Ovis aries: one gene and its partners. The protein of the gene in region 3 purifies or fractionates together with the protein of the main gene of each other region. This does not show direct contact. Links are inferred from orthologs where the notes say so. Each region holds a gene or a part of one and is shown on either strand. Other genes may lie near its edges.

What was found.
Region 1: the proteins of NOLC1 (region 3) and NOP58 fractionate together in Homo sapiens (co-fractionation; 3 studies listed by BioGRID, with this or other methods). This does not show direct contact. The link is inferred for Ovis aries from reciprocal best matches to the Homo sapiens genes NOLC1 and NOP58.
Region 2: the proteins of NOLC1 (region 3) and NOP56 purify together in Homo sapiens (affinity purification with mass spectrometry; 6 studies listed by BioGRID and IntAct, with this or other methods). This does not show direct contact. The link is inferred for Ovis aries from reciprocal best matches to the Homo sapiens genes NOLC1 and NOP56.
Region 4: the proteins of NOLC1 (region 3) and ARRB1 purify together in Homo sapiens (affinity purification with mass spectrometry; 4 studies listed by BioGRID and IntAct, counting the BioPlex papers as one, with this or other methods). This does not show direct contact. The link is inferred for Ovis aries from reciprocal best matches to the Homo sapiens genes NOLC1 and ARRB1.
Region 5: the proteins of NOLC1 (region 3) and CSNK2A2 purify together in Homo sapiens (affinity purification with mass spectrometry; 5 studies listed by BioGRID and IntAct, with this or other methods). This does not show direct contact. The link is inferred for Ovis aries from reciprocal best matches to the Homo sapiens genes NOLC1 and CSNK2A2.

What each region holds. Positions count from the first base shown.
Region 1 is NC_056055.1:204,588,143-204,591,657, forward strand, and holds part of NOP58 (nucleolar protein 58), read left to right. Parts: intron 1-739; coding exon 740-874; intron 875-1,891; coding exon 1,892-2,037; intron 2,038-2,090; exon of another isoform or gene 2,091-2,172; intron 2,173-2,600; coding exon 2,601-2,727; intron 2,728-2,870; exon of another isoform or gene 2,871-2,954; intron 2,955-3,515. UniProt on the Homo sapiens protein: Required for the biogenesis of box C/D snoRNAs such as U3, U8 and U14 snoRNAs. Part of the small subunit (SSU) processome, first precursor of the small eukaryotic ribosomal subunit.
Region 2 is NC_056066.1:52,249,978-52,254,100, forward strand, and holds the start of NOP56 (nucleolar protein 56), read right to left. Parts: upstream 2,809-4,123; 5' UTR 2,779-2,808; coding exon 2,776-2,778; intron 2,622-2,775; coding exon 2,532-2,621; intron 2,172-2,531; coding exon 2,057-2,171; intron 1,683-2,056; exon of another isoform or gene 1,611-1,682; intron 1,458-1,610; coding exon 1,296-1,457; intron 1,143-1,295; coding exon 944-1,142; intron 857-943; exon of another isoform or gene 721-856; intron 605-720; coding exon 417-604; intron 336-416; coding exon 184-335; intron 1-183. UniProt on the Homo sapiens protein: Involved in the early to middle stages of 60S ribosomal subunit biogenesis. Required for the biogenesis of box C/D snoRNAs such U3, U8 and U14 snoRNAs. Part of the small subunit (SSU) processome, first precursor of the small eukaryotic ribosomal subunit.
Region 3 is NC_056075.1:22,598,004-22,601,518, forward strand, and holds part of NOLC1 (nucleolar and coiled-body phosphoprotein 1), read left to right. Parts: coding exon 1-29; intron 30-125; coding exon 126-262; intron 263-660; coding exon 661-826; intron 827-2,944; coding exon 2,945-3,066; intron 3,067-3,186; coding exon 3,187-3,328; intron 3,329-3,515. UniProt on the Homo sapiens protein: Nucleolar protein that acts as a regulator of RNA polymerase I by connecting RNA polymerase I with enzymes responsible for ribosomal processing and modification.
Region 4 is NC_056068.1:53,205,176-53,208,690, forward strand, and holds part of ARRB1 (beta-arrestin-1), read right to left. Parts: intron 3,409-3,515; coding exon 3,357-3,408; intron 2,054-3,356; coding exon 1,942-2,053; 3' UTR 1-1,941. UniProt on the Homo sapiens protein: Functions in regulating agonist-mediated G-protein coupled receptor (GPCR) signaling by mediating both receptor desensitization and resensitization processes.
Region 5 is NC_056067.1:25,628,539-25,632,053, forward strand, and holds part of CSNK2A2 (casein kinase II subunit alpha'), read right to left. Parts: intron 667-3,515; coding exon 565-666; intron 1-564.

The DNA of each region.
Region 1 (3,515 bases), on a different chromosome or scaffold from region 3:
TTTATGATTGTTGAGGAAGAAAAAGACCAGCTAGAAGTTTAGTAAGTAAATTGGGAAATGCAGAATCAAAAATTGGAAAACTAATTATAATTTGACTACTTGGGGATAATAGGAATTACGCTACACTATTAATGTAAGCTGATTGATCTTTTTCCATGAAAAATGATAAAACCTTAAGATACGGGTGTGGGGTTTTTTTTGCTTTATGTATGTAATAAATCATTCGGTGATTTTTGGACATCAAAGTCTCAACAGTTTCCAGTTTTAAACATTTCTTTAAATAGCAATTGTATTTCTAGGTGTGTATGCCCCCCCAAACTGAAAGGAGTTAGTCAGTTACTTAAGCAGCTATGTTCATAGCATCATGATTCAGCTAAAGGGCAGAAACAATCCAGATACCTATTAACAGATGAAGGGATAAACAAAGTGGTATACAATGGAATATTATTTATCCTTACAAGTTCTAATATATGGTACAACATAGATGAATTTTGAAAACACTGTGCTATGGTGAAATAGACTACTTTCAAGAAGACAAATACAGTGTGATTCCCCTTATGAGGTACTTAGAATAGGCAAATTCATAGAGGGGATAAAAGAGAGGCTGGAGTGGTGAGAATGAGGAGTAATTATTTCATGGGTACAGAGTTTCTGTTTGGGATGATGGACTATTTCATCACAAGTGTTTTTTAAAACCCTTTTAAGTTCTTGTTTTCTTTTTTGTTTTAATCTGCTGCAGCCCTGTTAGATGACTTAGATAAAGAACTAAACAACTACATTATGCGGTGTAGAGAATGGTATGGCTGGCATTTCCCTGAGTTAGGAAAAATTATTTCGGATAATTTGACATACTGCAAGTGTTTACAGAAAGTTGGTGAGTAACTTTATCCTTTAAGGTATTGAAAATAGTGATTTATTTAAATCCTAAAACATGAGTTACTGGTTTTTTTATTCTCTTCCCAGAGTTTTTAGTCTTGTGTGTTTGAGGAGTATATCCATATTAACATCTGCTAGATTTCAGAAACAGAATTTTATTTCAGTGGCCTGTACAGTAGAGGACATCGTTCTCTAATTTGGTTTTCCTTGGGCTTCTTTTTTTAAAAAAAATTTGGAGTATAGGTGGCTTAGTGGTGAAGAATCTGTCTGCCAGTGCAAGAAACACAGGAGACCTGGTTTGAATCCCTGGGCAAGGAAGATACCCTGGAGGAGGAAATGGCAACCCAATCTAGTATTCTTGCCTTGGAAATTCCATGGACAGAGGAGCCTGGCAGGCTATAGTCCATAGGGTCACAAAGGATGTGACTAAGCACACACACTCATTGTGTTACTTTTTTCTGTACAGCACAGTGAATCAGTTGTGTATACATCTCCACTCTTTAGACTTTTTCCATGTAGGTCATTCCAGAGTATTGAGTAGTTTTCTGTCCTATGTAGCAGGTTCTTACTAGTAATCTGTTTTATATATCATAGTGTGTATATGTTGGTCCCAATTTATCTGCTCCCCACTCCCCTGAACTGGCTTCTTACAATGATTGTGTCTCACTGAAGTTGCCGTTAATAAGGACAACTGTGTGACTGGGAAGTATCCTGAAATACATTAATAGTGGTTAATATTAAAAATAGTATTGCTATCTATACTCAATATTAAATTGTATACTATTACTATAATAATAATATAGTAGAGGAACCTGAGGACTGTTCATAAAATGAGTTAATCTCTAAAATCAAGCCCTTACATGAGTAAAGTTACTTGGTCAAACTTGTTTACTTTTTGTTTTGTTCAGGCATCCCTTTCATTGGCTTATCTCTACTTTTTCTTTTGACTGTTTGGTGGATTTTATATAATTTACTGAAGAGTGATTCTCCCTCATCCTTTGCAAACATTCCATAGGCGACAGGAAGAATTATGCCTCAGCTCAACTTTCTGAATTACTGCCAGAGGAGGTTGAAGCTGAAGTGAAAGCGGCAGCAGAGATATCTATGGGAACCGAAGTTTCGGAAGAAGATATTTGCAACATTCTGCACCTTTGCACTCAGGTACACTATGCACATAGGGAAATTCGTGGTGGTGGTACCAGCTCTGTAATTTCTGATGGCAGTGATGATTTTTAAATGTATTGTTCACCTGATAAATATGAGGGTGTTCAGTCACTACCTCATCTGATGCCGTCTTGACTTACAAACTTGCAGGGAGAAAAATATCTTAAAATGAGGTTAAAGGAGTACTGTCTAGTTAATTTCTATTGTTAGCAGTATCTGAATGTGTATAGCCTGTAATTTTTACCCCTCATTTGAAGATAGCTATATGACAATCACAGAGGATGACACAAATGTCTAGTCTTTAGAGTTTTTTTAAACAAATGTTGATTAACATTTTTAAGCAGTGTATTAGGTTTACATATATTGCTTAATTTTTAAATATTAAAATTTCACAACAGCCGTTTTATAGAAAACTGAGGTAAAGGATGGCTAATTTTCCTGGGATTGTACAACTAACTGCTCTGTGATAATTTGGGGCTCTGATGTTTTAGACATGTGAATTTTACACTGCTTTTACTCTTAAACTATTTATGATTTACTCATTTTGTTTCTTAAACTAGGTGATTGAAATCTCTGAATATAGAACCCAGCTTTATGAATATCTGCAAAATCGAATGATGGCCATTGCACCCAATGTTACAGTCATGGTTGGGGAATTAGTTGGAGCACGACTTATTGCTCATGCAGGTGATGATTTTAATATAATTTGTAAACATGGGTATTGAGAGTTGTTTTCTAGGTAGGATCTTATTTTCTTTTAAACTGGAGTTTAAAGATAAATCTGGGTAATAAAAAGAAGTGAATGTTTATGTGCGAGGACTAAGGACCAAGTGTTCAATGATGATTTTTATTTGTATGCCTGATTTCCTTTCGGATAGTGAAGGCATCTTTAGTCACTACCTCTTCTGAGACACTGGTGGTCCATTGTCAGAAGTTTGTTTTGGTTAATTAGAGTAATTGGATGAATACAGGAGGATGAAATCAGGTTTACCTCATTTTACTGTGCTTCACAGATACTTCGTTTTTTAAATTCATAGTTTGTGTCAGCCCTGTGTAGAACAAGTCCATTGACATCATTTTTCCAACACCACAGTCTGTCGCATTTTGGTGATTCCCACAATATTTCTAACTTTTCCATTCTTATATTTGTAATGTTGGTCTTTGGTCAGTGATCTTTGATGTTACTACTACAACTTCCTGAAGGTTCAGATGATGTTTAACATGTTTTTAAAAGTAAAGCATTTATAAATTGAGGTATGTACATTGTTTTTCCAGACAATGCTATTTCATACTAAGTAGATTACCCATAAGAATATAACTTAAAAAAAAAAAAAAGAATATAACTTCAATAAGCACTGGGAAACAAGAATTCGTATACTTAGTTTATTGCAACACTTGCTTTATTGTGGTAATTGGGAATGAAATCCACTATATCTTGATTGTGCAGGTATATACTATTGATTGAGAATTTATTT
Region 2 (4,123 bases), on a different chromosome or scaffold from region 3:
GAGAAAGAGTCAAGGAGTCAAAGAAGCTGGAATTGCCAATGTACCAACTGCATAACGTGCTTCAACCTCCTCCCCATCAAGTTCAACCGGGGAAGATATGATAGGTCATGAAATACAACAACAATATGATGACTATAGATGGTAATCCCATAATCCCCCATCTTTTGGTTTCCCATGACGCACCGCTTCCCCAATTAGGGCAGACAGGCTGGGCGCTACTTGGCTCATCTTGGATCGCAGGTAAGTGTGCAGACTTTGGCGGTACTCTGACAAAGACACCACACGACTGGAGAAGCTCTCGATGTTTATCAAGTCAATGGCTGATATGTCCATGCCTAAAGAACATCAAGTATGAATGCAGAAGCCCAATATTCAGAGCCCCATACCTTATTTTCACTGCTAGCCTCTGTACTGACCCATGGAAGACCGCGAGGCATCCAAAATAGCCTTAGCCTTGGCTGCATCCATTGTCAGCTCCTCCAGCTTCTCCAACTTTTCTTCATTAAGCTCCTTCCGGTTTCCAATGAACTGAGCAAGGCGGCAGTACGTAGCATTGTCATTGATGATCTTTACCAGCTCAGGAAAGTGATACCCATACCACTCCCTGCAAAGAACACAATCACTCCCTGGCCCAGTTGCCATGCTTCAAAGCTACACTCAGCCCTCTCCACATCTACTTTATCCCTGGAGGAAATCGGAACAAATCAGATCCCAAAACCTCCATGTCTCCCCATTCACAATACAGACCAGGTAAAGGGCCTGCCTGGGCTGAGGTGTATATGGGGTGGGTTTACTCTGCCTCCTCTTTCTATACAGTCAGTGTAAGAACACAGCCTGTGGTAAGCATCAGGAGGCCCAGCTCTACCAGTCCTGATTTCAGGATTCAAAATTAGCTAACCCACAGACCCAAGACCTTGTTTCTCAGGTCACCCCTGCACTTTACCTGACACGCATGGAGAAGGTATTGATATCCTTATCCAGCTGGTCCAGGAGGCTAATGGACTGGATAATCATATTGTCCACTCGGTTCACATTAAACTTAACTTTGGCACGAGAATAGCTGTGTCCCAGCCCCAGTTGGGCTTTACAAGCAGACAAATCGGTCAGACCTTTCACCAGGTTGTGGAAGTGCAGACGAACTCCTAGAAGAGGGTGAGACTGTGAGTAAGGAAAGGCTCTGAGCTAGTACCTGCATGCATAGGTACCAGACAAGCAGGAGGGCTTCTAAAAAGCAACCCGCTAGGTTTCCAGAACCACCGCCCCCTCACCAGCTCCAGATTTCAAAACTGTCTCACCTCGAAGGATCTCGGCTATGACACCTCCAGTCTGGCAGTTGTACCCTAACTCCTCTTGTATAGCCGCACCTATCTTGGGGTCCCCAACCCCCAGAAGTACTTTCTTCTTTTTGGGTGGCAGGTGAGTCTCCAAGAGCAGGCGGAGGTCCTCATGAACAACACCTCAAGGCAAAGAACAGAGCTCCCACTAACATGCTGAAGGACGTTTAAATCGTAAAAAGAGATCTTGTCACCTCAACTGCTGATCAGTGAGACTGATCTTACAGAGTATGCTAAGATGGCCTGTGCCTAGAGCCCTCCTCTTACTCAGAGGCTTTGCTCAGAGACATGGAGACATCAGTGATTACACTCACTCAGGGGATTGACAGACTCAAGTCATCACTGCAAAGCCAGCATCAACCATAGGAGAACAGAACTCAGGCCCCATAACCTAAGTGTAAAATATATTATTGAAAGCTTGAAACACACCCTGGAGCACAATGGATGTATTTAGTACCAGATCTGCCTTCTGGGACTAAAACTTCCTCCAGGCTTTTGGCATCAAAATTGCCCTTTGCAATCAACTGAACAAACTAGCAGAGAACCACATTTGATTGGATCTACCATTATACCAGCCCCTCAACCCCAGCCTGATTTCACTTAAAAATCATTACTACAGTGCCTACAAGAAATAAAGCGTACATCCTAGGTTGTTAAAGGGTTAACAGTAGCAAGAACTACATCTAGGCTCATCTCTCTACAATATTTAGTGGCCAACTCACCTTCAGACACAGCGTTGGCATTTTCCAAGGCAACTTGGGACGAGGAAAAGGGACAAAAGGCCACAAGACGAACGATGTTGTGGAATTTGCCAAGGTTCAGCACGCACTCCTCCACCTGGGGGGAGAAAGGTGATATTCTTCCCTCCCTCTTGCCTCTAGGGGGCAGTAAAGCAGCAGCAGCTCTTGGACCTGAAAGCACTCTTAGGACCAACCGAACACTAAAAATGGACAGATCATGGGTCCCAAATCCCGGTTCCGCTTCATTGGTATGGGGTGGAATCTGGGAAGCTTACTTTTTAATGCTTCTAACGCAATTCTAATCACGAATGCAAGTAAGGACCACCTACTTTGGAACTGTCAGGCCCAGCGCACCTCCCAACGCGCGGCCGGCCACGTGGGAGCACGCGGTGCATGCTGGGGCCCGCGCGGCCCGAGGGGCTGCGGAGCCGCTGGCTAGCCCACCATGTCCACCCACCTGCGGCAGCAGAAGGCTGATCTCCTCCACCTCCTTCAGCGCCAGAAGCGCGTAGCCGACCGCGTGCTCGAAAAGCACGTGCAGCAGCACCTGAAAAGGGAGCCGGGACACCAGAGTAAGCGCTTATCTCACGTTTGCCCAGCCCCGTCCCCGGGGAAGGCCCTGGTCCCGGCCCACGCTCCAGCCCAAACCCAGGCCTAAACCACGGCCTCCACCTCGCCCGCAACCTACAACCACTCCTCACCATGGCGCTCGCTCCTAGTCCGGCTCGCACTGTGGCGAGCGCGCTCTGGCGCGCGGAACCGGGCTCCAGAGGCCACGCCCCCGCCTCGTCGGCCAATCGGAGGCCGGGGACGGTACCATCCCTTTCCTCGGGAGGGGTCGCCCGGGGTGGTACGGCCCGCAGGCGGGGACAGGGGCGCGAGCGCCTGCAAGTCGGCCTTTTCCGGTCTCGGCTGCGGCGTGGTTGCTTGGTACGCGCCGGCCGGAACGGACCCTGCAGGCTGCAAAACGGTTTGGAAAGGCGCGCTTTTCTGGTTCATTCACTCTTGTTTTCATCCTGTAAATTACAGGCAGCAGAGCTTGGTGGGATCCGGGCTGGAGGCCCCCGCACTGATCGCGGCCACACTTCAGAGCAGAAACTGTTGCGGAGCCCAGTCTCCGCAGCGCTAGGCATCTCAGGACCTAGGCCCCGCCCCACGTCCCCAGGATACCAGGACCCGCTGCGTCCCCACCCAGCAATAGGGGTCTACCCTCTGCCGGGCCAGGGTTCTGCGCTGGCTTTCCTCATCACTGGGGCGGAAGCTGGGCCTGAGGCGCTGGCGCGGACTTTGAAGTCGTGATTCCCATTGCTGACTTGGTGCTTTTCAGTTTTATTTTTAAAAATAAAGGCTTCAGGCGCTGAAGTAGGAAAGAAAGATGATTCCCATCTTTTTCCGGTTCGGTTTATTGTTCCCTGCTTCGGCAGAACCTTCCTTCTGCGGGGCCAAGTGTCACTCGCCCTGGTGCACTGCCCAACTTAGTACCCTGTTAGTTCCAAGTGAACGGGAGCTGCTGTCGTGTCCTCTGGGCAGCTTTAAGGCACTCAGGAGACTGTTTTGAAATTATTGATACTTTTGCTTTAATAATGTCTGAGTTACAAGTCCAAAACCTGGTTACCCCAAAATGGTATATGTTGGTAAATTAAAAATAAATCATCTTAAGGGGGTTTTTACAACTTAAAATTCCCACAACTAGCGTGCATTTATAAATTCAAGGTATTTTCTAAAGCAGTTCAGTTATTTGACAAGATTCAAGTACTGAGCTCTTAAAATCTAGTAGATTAAATTTTAATCATAAATCTTAATATCATAGTCTTAATATTGCTTACATGTGTGCTTACATTTTGTTGCCTGTATCCACTTACAATCGTGAGTTCAGACTCCATCTCATGTTTTTAAAATGGAATTGGATCAGTTACTCCATCTCATGTTTTAAAATGGAATTGCAAAATTAATCTGTTACATGAGAATGTTAAAGCATTATAAATGCCACATTAAATAGAAGTTTCCAAAATATATTGGAACATATTAATGCTATGACTGATTTACTTG
Region 3 (3,515 bases):
AAACCAGGCACCTCCAGCTAAGAAAGCTGGTAAGGCCTAGCAGGGAGTTGTGGTTCCAGGAAGAGGATTTGTAGTCTCCCAGTACTAAATGGCTGATTCTTACTGAGACCCGTATTTTTGTTCAGCTGTACCTGCCAAGCAGGCCAGTCTGCTTCAGCATCCTGGAAAGGCTGCAGTCAAAGCATCCGAGAGCAGCAGCAGCAGCAGTGAAGAATCCAGTGATGATGAGGAGGAAGAAGACAGAAAGAAAAAGCCTGTTGAGGTGCAGCTTTGGGGAGGAAAGGAATTGCTTAAGGGATTGGAAAGAAGAAGTCCAAAATCTTGGCTTTTAGCCTGGTGGTGCTGGTTATAAACAACAGATTATTACGAGGTCTTTCAGAGAGGTTGTAAAAATATGAGGTTTGGAAAGGATTTTGTAGGGTGAAAGTTGAACCCTGAATGTAGAGGAAATTCAGTCCATTCTGCAACCCTGACAGTATTGGGTTTCTCTGGGACACCGTCAAGGACTCCAAGAGTAAAAGATGTTTTGTGGACAGGTGCAGGGAGCTCTAAACAGGGAATGTCAGGAACAAGGCCTAAAAAAGGGAGCTTGCTTTTGTACCTTAAGATGTCCTTTGGGTGCCCTAAAACTCTTGCTGATTCCCCTGGCTTTTCTTACAGAAGGGAGTTAAGCCACAGGCCAAGACAGTCAAAGCTCCTCCTAAGAAGGCCGAGAGCTCTGATTCCGATTCTGACTCAAGCTCAGAGGACGAGGCACCAAAGAACCAGAAGCCAAAGACAACACCTGTGGCAGTGAAAACTCAGGCTAAAGCCCCAGCCAAACCAGGTATCGTTTTTGTTCCCAAGAGGCTAGGCTGGGGACCAGGTTGCTCTGGGGACTGGTGTGAAAATTCCTCATTCACCACAGGGATGAAATGGCACTGGTTATTGAACTAGGGGTATGGACTGGTGTCTTTTTTTTTTAAATTAGGGACTAGTAACTACAGAAATGGCTTGCCTGGTGGCCCAGACAGTAAAGAATCTGCCTGCAATACAGGAGACCCAGGTTCGATACCTGGGTCATGAAGATCCACTGGAGAAGAGAATAACTACTGCCTCCAGTAGACTTGCCTGAAGAATCCCCATGGATAGAGGAGCCTGGCGGGCTATAGTCCATGGGGTTGCAAAGAGTCAGACAAGTCTGAGCAGCAACTAACACTTTCACTTTTTTCAACTATAGAAATAGTGGGCAATGAGGGAAAACATGTTTAAAAGACTTCAGAGGGCATATTCAAATGATTTGCGTCATAAAATTTTTTGGAAGACAGGTTTATTTCTGAACTTGGGCAGGAAATTTATCCTTTGATAATACCACGGTAAACCACAGCCTTCTCCTTTATGCTTGCTGCAAAGGCAAGAGAATTGACAGTGAAGAGCCTAAGCTACTCTATCTTGTAAAAGAGCTCCATTTTGCAAAGGTACCGGGCAAACAGACTTAGACTTTGGATATTGCCTAAACTTGCCCCACTGTGCGCGAGCCAGTCAGCCCTTGGATTAGACCTCCTGACTTTAAGTTCAAGAATTTGTGATTTACCTTGGAAGTAATGAGTTACATTTGTGATTTACCTTGGAAGTAATGATTTACCGTGGAAATGGGAACCAATCAGAACCCAACACCTAACCCTTCCACAGAAGGTAACCAATTAGAGGTCTCCCAACCTGGAAACTCCCGTTTTTCGAATTTTTCGCGCGAGAATACCCTATATAAGCAATATAACCCAGAGTTCAGGGCTCCTCTCCTAAGCCACTGCATCGGTAACGGTGGGAGCCCCAGCTCGAGCTTGGTAATAAAAACTCTCTTGCTTTTCCATCAGATATCAGCTCCCTGGTGGTCATTGGGAGATTTTGAGACTTGGGCATAACAACAGACTCCTAAGTACCAAGCTAATAGGAGGAGGCTTTAAGAAATATTTATTTATTTGGCTGCACCATATCTTAGTTGGTGCATGTGGGATCTAGTTCCCTGACCAGGGATCAGACCCCCAGCTCCCTACATTGGGAGCATGGAATCTTAGCCACTGGACCACCAGGGAAGTCCCAGTTCATGTCTGTTTAAAAAATATTTTTCTTTCTTTATTTCCGGGTGTACTAGGTCCTTGCTGTGTATGGGCTTTCTGCAGTTGAGGTGAATGGAGGCTGCTCCCTTGTGGTGGTGTGCAGGCTTCTTACGCTGGTGGCTTCTCTTGTTGCAGAGCACAGGCTGTAGAGTGTTGGGGCTTTAGTTGTGGCTCCCGGGATTAGTTGTCCCAGGGGATATGAGATCTTCCCAGAACAGGGATTGAACCTGTGTCTCCTGCATTGGTAGGTGGGTTTTTGTTTGTTTGTTTGTTTTTTTACCACAGAGCCATGAAGGAAGGCTGGCAGGTGTATTCTTAGCCACTGGACCACCAGGGAAATCCAGCTCATGTCTGTTTTCAACATACCTGTCTTACAGTTTGTTGAAACAATACATATGTATGTCGGAGTGGTTGGCTGTAAAAACTTGAGCCCAGCTATCATCTGAAGGGTATTCACACCCACCTTATGGTATTTCAGACAGCCAGCTAGCTTAGTCTTCTTTCTCTTATGCTTGTTCTTGGGACTTATGTAAGAATTCTTCCTTTCTTAGTACCATCATGAAGTCCCAAAAGTAAGGTGAAATGTACACTCCTTTTGAATTTTATAGTCAAAGTACATCTGTGTTCTAGTTGCTTGCCAGCAAAGATCAATCTTTACTACTCAGGAAGAATTCTTTTTTATCCTGGATTTTGGCCCTTCATTTTCTGTTGTAGCTGAGGGTTTGACTTCAAGAGTGATGGTCATTCCCCTCAGGATCTTCATGAAATTCTGCATCTTGGCGGCAGTGCTGCTGAAGGTGGCGGGTCCGAAAACTGTCTTTATACTCATGTTATTTCTATTTTCTTAGGTACATCACCTCGGCCAGCACCTAAAGTCGCCAATGGCAAAGCAGCTAGTAGCAGCAGCGGCAGCAGCAGCAGCAGTGATGATGACTCAGAGGAGGAAAAGGCAGTAGCCATCTCTAAGAAGGTATAGGCCTTAATTTCTACCAGGGAAGAGGGGACAAGAGGGTGGAAGTCCTCCATTTCCTGGCAGGATTGGTTGGGTCAATATTTTCCTGTGGTAATTGATTTTCTCTGTGTGATGCAGACCATACCTAAAAAGCAAGTTGTGGCTAAGGCCCCAGTGAAAATGGTTGCTGCACCTGCCCAAAAGAGTTCCAGCAGTGAGGACTCCTCCAGTGAGGAGGAGGAAGAGGAGCAGAAGAAAAAGCCCATGAAGAAAAAACCAGGTGACTGGACACGGGGAGTCAAGCTACCACTGACGAGGGCCCAAAGGCAGGAGGACCTCTGCAGTCACCACGTGGACCTTGGCCTGACAGCTGGCCTGTCCCAGAGAAAGGAGAAAGCCAAATGGCATGCCATCGTCCCTGCCCTAGTCTGTTAGGAGTGAGTCACTAATCTGAGCCCATCCTCAAG
Region 4 (3,515 bases), on a different chromosome or scaffold from region 3:
GGTTGCAAAGTCCATCCCAGGAGGGGCTGAACTGAAGAGCTGAGATCCAGCTTATATAATAAAACTTGGCCATCTGCCTTTTCACAAGTATGGGACACAGACAGAAAGGAGGAAGAGATCCCCTTGCCCTGCTAATCAATACATCTGCTTGGATATGAGGCAAACTTCAGGACATCCAAAGAGGGTGTGAAGTAGTACCGTGTCTATCGCAAGCTCTCCTCCCCTCCCCCTGCCACGCCTCAGCAAATACAAGCAAATACAATACCTTCTGTAATACTTGGTCCCTAGGGCCAAGCGGCTCATGCTAACTACAGCCACAGCTTGACATCAGGCAACCCTTCACCCTGGCCCAGTCTAGGGACCTTAGAAGGGCCCTTCTTCGGCCTGGAGTGGGTGTAGGGTGGTGGTGCTAGGTGCTGTCTATTGCCCCACCACCCCTCGGGTTCAGTGATCCTCACTGGTGGCAGACAGACCAGAATCAGTGGTTCTGGCTCCACCCACCAGACCAGAAACTCTAATGCTCACAAATTCTTGGAGGCAGAGCTGGGAGGGCCCCTTGTGATCATCTGCTCGAACCCCTTGGTTTTCTAGGTGAAGTACTGAGGCCCAGAGACGGAAAGGAACTTGCCCAAAGTCACACAGCAGTGAGCATCAAAGGTCAGAGAAAAACAGTTAACTTTTAACACTTTCTGCCTCATCGTCTGCCTGCCCCGTTGCCCTGGAAGTATGCCCCATGTCCTAATCACACCAACATCAGCCCATGGGTACTGTACACCCATGACAGTGGGAATCACTGTGTGTGTGTGTGTGTGTGAGTGTGTGTGTATTGGCGGGGGGTGGTCATCAGCTCCCCAAGGAAACAAAAGAGTCCCTCTTCCTTTTAGGTAAGGACAACTCAGTGGACCTTGCTACCTTCTATGGAAGGACCCCCTTTGACTGTGGGCACGGTGGTCTCAGGGGCTCTCTTCCAGTCCAGCCCTGGAGACCTGCAAGGGCAGGAAGACATTGGTGGCCTCAATCGTTCTGGCCCTTCAGTCTTGCTTCCCACCAGATCGCTGATCCCTCTTAAGGAAGGGAGCTGGGCAGACTCTCATCTTCTCACCCCACCCCCATCTCATAGTCACCCTTCAGGACACCTCCTCAAGACCTTGGTGCTTTCCGAAGGCCCCTCCCTTCTCTCTGTCGCACTCTGTGCATATCTGCGGATGACACACAGGCAAGATACAGGCAGCTAGGATATTACATCCTGATGATACTGACATAGACTCGGGCTACTTCACACGACTTGCCTTAGACTAGGTAACTGCAGGTAAGAAAGTCAGCCCAACTGCTTTGCTCCATTCCTGGGGTCTACAAACCTTCACCAAGGTCACTGTCAGTCACAGAGGGACGGGGGCAGGGACGAGGGAGGAAGAAGACAGGTGTTTGGTGGGTCCGAACTTCGAGCAAAACTGTGTGGAAAATCTATCCATGGGCCTGTCCCCTCCCAACCAGAGGAGGGTGGCCTTCAAAGCGGTCATGTTTTAGCTGCCAGAACTGTATTCATCACCCGGGACAGTGGCCTCATCCTCTCACGTGTCTTGAGCCTCCATCCCCACCCCGCCAAGCCCTTGTGCCCCATCTTCCCCTTTCTGCTCCCCATCCCAAGTCAAATTCTAAGGCCAGAGCCGTGCTGGCCTGTCTAGGGGTCAACAGGAAAAGAGGAGGGATGGAGAAGTGATGCGGTGAGAGGGTGAGGGTGTTGCCTGTGGCCCAGTTGGCATGGTGATGGGGGCCAATCCTGAGGCCAGGGGTTCCCATCGTGACCTGGAAGACCGCTGGGCCCCCTGGTAGAAACTGGAAGAACAAAGGGGAGGGGGAGTCAGGACAGGAAGAAGACGAACAAGCATCCTAGCGCATGAGAGTGGACCTGGAGCTGCCCGGAGGGAGGGCGGCTCCAGTCTATCTGTCGTTGAGCCGCGGAGAGCCGGTACCATCCTCCTCTTCCTCCTTGTCATCCTTCATGCCTTTTAGTCTCTGGCGGGCAAAGTCCTCAAACACAATGTCGTCATCGCTGGTGGGAAAGACAAGGAAAACAGGCGTGTTTGCAGGGCAGGGAGAGGAGGTTTACTCAGAGGGGTCGGAGGGCCTGCACAGCCCAGCAGGACCCAGAGGCCGGCCTCTGGGACTGGTCTTGGATAGAAAGGCCTGCCAGGCCAGCACATCTGGATGCCCATCAATGACAGTGGGACCAGCCAGTTGCAGAAATACCAGAGGGAGGCCTGAGTTTGCTAAGGGCTGGAAATCGACCCAGCTCTTGAGAAGCTGGGGTTCAGGCACACATCAAATTGTGGGTGGGGGCGGGGAGTGAGGCAGGGTTAGGGCCAGAGGAGGAACTTATTTCCACAAAGAGGCCAGGCCGACAGCAGTTTCACAGCATATTCTGAGTCCCCCAAGAACACGCCCCCACCCAAGAACTACCCTCAGGAAGCATTCCTGTTTTCTGAGAAAACCCCAAAGGCCCTTTCTCCAAGGAAATGTCAGCTCACATTCTACCCTGAGGGATATTGGATACACAGGGTCTGTGGGGGCTGGGGTGGGGGCTAGGCAAAGCCCAATAAGGGTGGGGAGCAGAAAAAATATGAGTGGAGAAAGAGGGTGCCTGAGAGGGGTTCCAGAGGGGCTGCCTCTAAGAACAGTGAGCTCCCTTCTACTAATAAAACATGTCCACATGGGCCCACTCTCCAGGCCCCAGCCCCACAGAATTCAGCCAACTGCACGGGGTATCCTCCATGGGCTGACTTAAGACCCGACACATCTCCTAGAGGACAAAGGAAGCATAGATTTGGAGCTGGAGCGAGAAAGCTGCTTGGACCTGGAGGTGGTTCATGTTTGCCCAGGTCCTCCCCTCTGGCCACTGTCCTGTGAGGTGACAGCCTTTGACCACAGGGCCATCCATACTGGTCCTCACGAGTCAGAAACAAGAAGATCCCCAGAACCTTCCCCACCCCACAGCCTGATTCCACTGGCTGGACACCAGCCAAGTAGGAGGGTCCCAGCCCAGGGCCACAAACCAGCCCTGTGACAGCCGAGCAGGTGCTGTGGATGGACGAATGGACTGACGGACTGACGGACGTGCAAGGACGAGGGAGGAAGACAGACCCCACCAAGGCAGGAGGAAGAGGAACAGGCACCGAGGGTCCTTCAAGTCACATGCAGGCAAGCGGGTTGCTGAAGAGGCGAGCAGAGGCAGCTCTCAGCAGATGGGTTAGACCACTGCTCCTCGGGGTTAATTAGCATAAATGCATATAACCAGGCAGCCCCGCCCACCTCCCAAGGCCCACCCCGCCCATGTCTGCAGGCAGGGTTCTGCTTACTTGGTGTCAAGTTCTATGAGATTGGTATCTACTGGCGTCTCGTGCTCTGGAACTAAACACAGGGCAGATGACCGCCCACGGGTTACTGGCGAGTGAGTGAGGGGGCAGGTGGGCACAGGTCCTCACCCCGGGACAACTAAGCTAAGGTAGGGGAGGGAA
Region 5 (3,515 bases), on a different chromosome or scaffold from region 3:
TTTTAATAAAAATATTTAAACTGCATCTGCATATACCATGTGAGCCCTAATGGTGGATGCGGAATTAAAGACCAGTATGAGAAACAGCAAGATAGTGACCTCAAGGGGTCTGTGATCTGTTCAGTTCTCCACAGGAAGTGTCCACATGGCCACACTTCCTATCTCCTTCTGTAAACCCAGATTTTCAAATGTCAGGCTTACTTAAGTGAGGTAAAATAATGTTAATTGGCAGTAATAAGCTTTCTAAGTTGGGAGAAAAGCAGGAGCATAAGGGAGCTTTGAAGCAAACGTTTGTGGACTGAATCAAAATAATGAGGCTATAAAACTGGGAAAGGGATTTTTTTTCTACAAATACTTTAAGGTTCCATAAAAGTGGTAGTAGGTAGTTTATCACTGGGCCACCATGATTTTTTCTGGTTTTCAAATCCTTTAGTAGTAAAGACAAACACAATCATTCCCAGCATATTATAACAATGTTTCCCATTATTTTCAGGTTCTCTGTCTCTCATACACACACACACACACCACCCCCCCACCTCTCCCCTTCAACAGCTAGGCACCTACCACAGGGTCCTTCACAGTGTCAATCAGCTTAATGATATTTGTTCCACCACGAAGGTTCTCCAGAATCTTAACCTCTCGTTTTATCTTCTTTTTCTTCACTGGCTTAAATATACAAGAGTAATGAGAAGTAAGACTCCTTTTGAAGTTAACAAATAAAACTTTAAAACACTGTTTCTATCAAATGGCTATTGCACTATCTTGCACAAGGGCATGTCTAAACTAGAAGAGATGGGGGAATAAAATGAGGTTTAAGAGGAGCCTGCCCATAAGAATTTTTAAGATTACATGAAATAATTCACAGACTCATACAGCTTACATGTCAAATCTTTTAAGTAGTTACATTTAGGACACATGAAATTTTGAATGCCTATGTCATACTTTAAAAATAAAATGTTTACTAGTTAACTGCCCAATGGAAAGCGTTATAGCTCTTAACAGCTGTCTATCATGCACTCATAAATGGAAAAACGGAAACAAACTGCTAAGACACCTGCTCTTCCAACGGGTCGCATGTAATTTTGTCTTCTAGGAGTGAAGACCAGTTCACTGACATCAAGTTACAAACTTGTTTCCCAGCTGCTGGCTCCCGTTTCCTGTCACCACTCCCATTTCCTTAATATCTAGACTCTGAAATCAGCTCAGAGCCAGTAAAACTTCCCAACAGACCCCATTCCTAAAGGAAGAGATGATGGATCAGCAAAGGAAAAGACCAATCTCTGACACAGCAGTGACTGAAAACCCCTGCTACCCACTAACCTTTCAATCTGTTGGATAGGCAAACCGGAAACCTTAATCAAAAATGTCAGCATTATGCATGTTATTTCTTGTCATGAATAGGCTAAAGAGTCTGAAGAATAATTAAAGCAGCTCTAGAAAAAAAAGCATTATCACAATCAATTATGCTTTATAAAGTACTTAAACAGCAACTAGTATACAGGAAGCAGTCAATAGATGTTATGTCCATTATTTTCATGTTTCATTCTCACAAAATTCCTATGTAGAAGACTCAGCCAAGTTGAGCTATTTGCCCAAGATCATACAGCTAGCAGTCAAGAGCAGGGGCAGGATTCAAATCTGCAGGCCTCAATCTTCGCCACCGTGCCTTCATTCCCCAAGTGTGGCCATGGGAGGACTGTAACTTAGGAAAAGGAGTACTGCCCCAGCAAGACACTGTTACAGCAGCGCAGGCAAAGACAAAGACGGCCCCGTGGGTTAGCCGTGATGGAAAAGATGGAAAAGACCGTGTCCACGTGGTGGCGGTGGCAGTGGGGTGGGTGAAACACAAGATACACACAAGCCAGAGGAACCAGCATCTCTTGCTGGTCACCAAGCTACAGCTTTGAACACAAACCAGAGAGGAACTGTAAAACACAGAGCACCTGCATCACCTGTAGGAGGGCGCTCAACTGAGAGGCTGGAGTCTGGCTGCATTCTTCCAAGCCAGCTGCCACAATCGCGCCCATTCCACTGTCAGCATTCTCAGTAGAACAGATCTGGCTACTGTGGTTCTTTCTCCATTCCACTTAGGAATTTTACTACTTCCCTTTTTCATAATTACAGAACTCAATACTTTGGAAAAGTGAGGCACTCAAACATCAAGTACAAACTTGGTCAGAAAACAGCCAGAGAAGGACATACTACAAAATAAGTAGTCTACAAGCTTTAAAAATGTTTATGTCATGAAACACACAGACTAAACAAGTACTCCAGATTAAAAAAAATATGACAACTGAATGTAACGCATGATCTGCGATTTTCCTTTGCTATAAAGAACATTACAAGGACAACTGGCAAATGAGAACAGAGGTTGTAGATGCATCAATATTAACTTTTGATTTCTGATCATGGCATTGAGTTATGTAAGAAATTGCTTTTGTTTTTAGGAAATATAGGAAATTAGGGATATTCTTTCAAGCACTTAAGTAAAAGAAATATATATCAGCACATACATACATATCTGTATGTATAACAAGTGTGTATATATAAATAAAAGAGAGAAAAGGATATTTAAGAAATCTGCATGAAAGATACATGGGAATTTTTGCAATTTTTCAGTAGTCTGAAATTTTGTCAAAAAGTTAAAAGAAAAATCAAATGCAAACAGTATATTCAACATAAGAAAATTCTGGGTTTTTTTGTGGCCACACTGTGAGGCATATGAGACCTTAGTTCCCTGACCAGGGATCAAACCTGTCCCTTGCCACAATGGAAGCTCAGCATCCTAACCACTGAATTACCAGGGAAGCCCCAACAAATTCTAGAGTTGTCATCCACTCCTGGAAAGTAGTTACAAATCTGTGGGAGTGGCAACAGAGGGAGAAAAAAAACAATGGCCAGAAGCCTGTGTTCACCAAAAGCCCCCTCTCCCTCTAAAAGTGAACAAGTACAAGGTAACCATTATATAAGCTGCTCCTATGACAACGTCCCATATAGAGCCTTGCCTTGTTCTGTTATTCAGCAACGTATCAGGCAGTTCCTGGATAATCCAGTTCAGATGAATGTATCTTTCACTATGTCTTAAGGTAACTCACAGAACAAGTGAAGCACATTTGACTGCCCAATTGTCACCTGTCAGACTGGGGACAGCAGGACAAATCTAAAGTGGCAAAATGGAGCCACACTGCAGCTGGAGTCCTCACATACTGAGAAAAGACCGACAGACTATAAGAGGAGTGATGAACGGTGCAGGAGGCTCACTCCAGAGCAGGGGCACCAAGTCTCTACAGGAGCCAGGCTTCAGGCAACTCTCTCTAGCCTCAAGCTTACTCCTCTGAACCTGAGAGACCTCCAGAAGCCGAAAAACCAATGAATGCCCAGACATTTATGACCGCAATGATTTACATTCTATAAGTAGAATTCAAGGGAAAAAGTTAGGATTTATAAGGGAGGATCCTTGGCATCTGAAGAAAGATAGACCATGAATTTTTACAGAAATAAGGCTGCTCTAATCC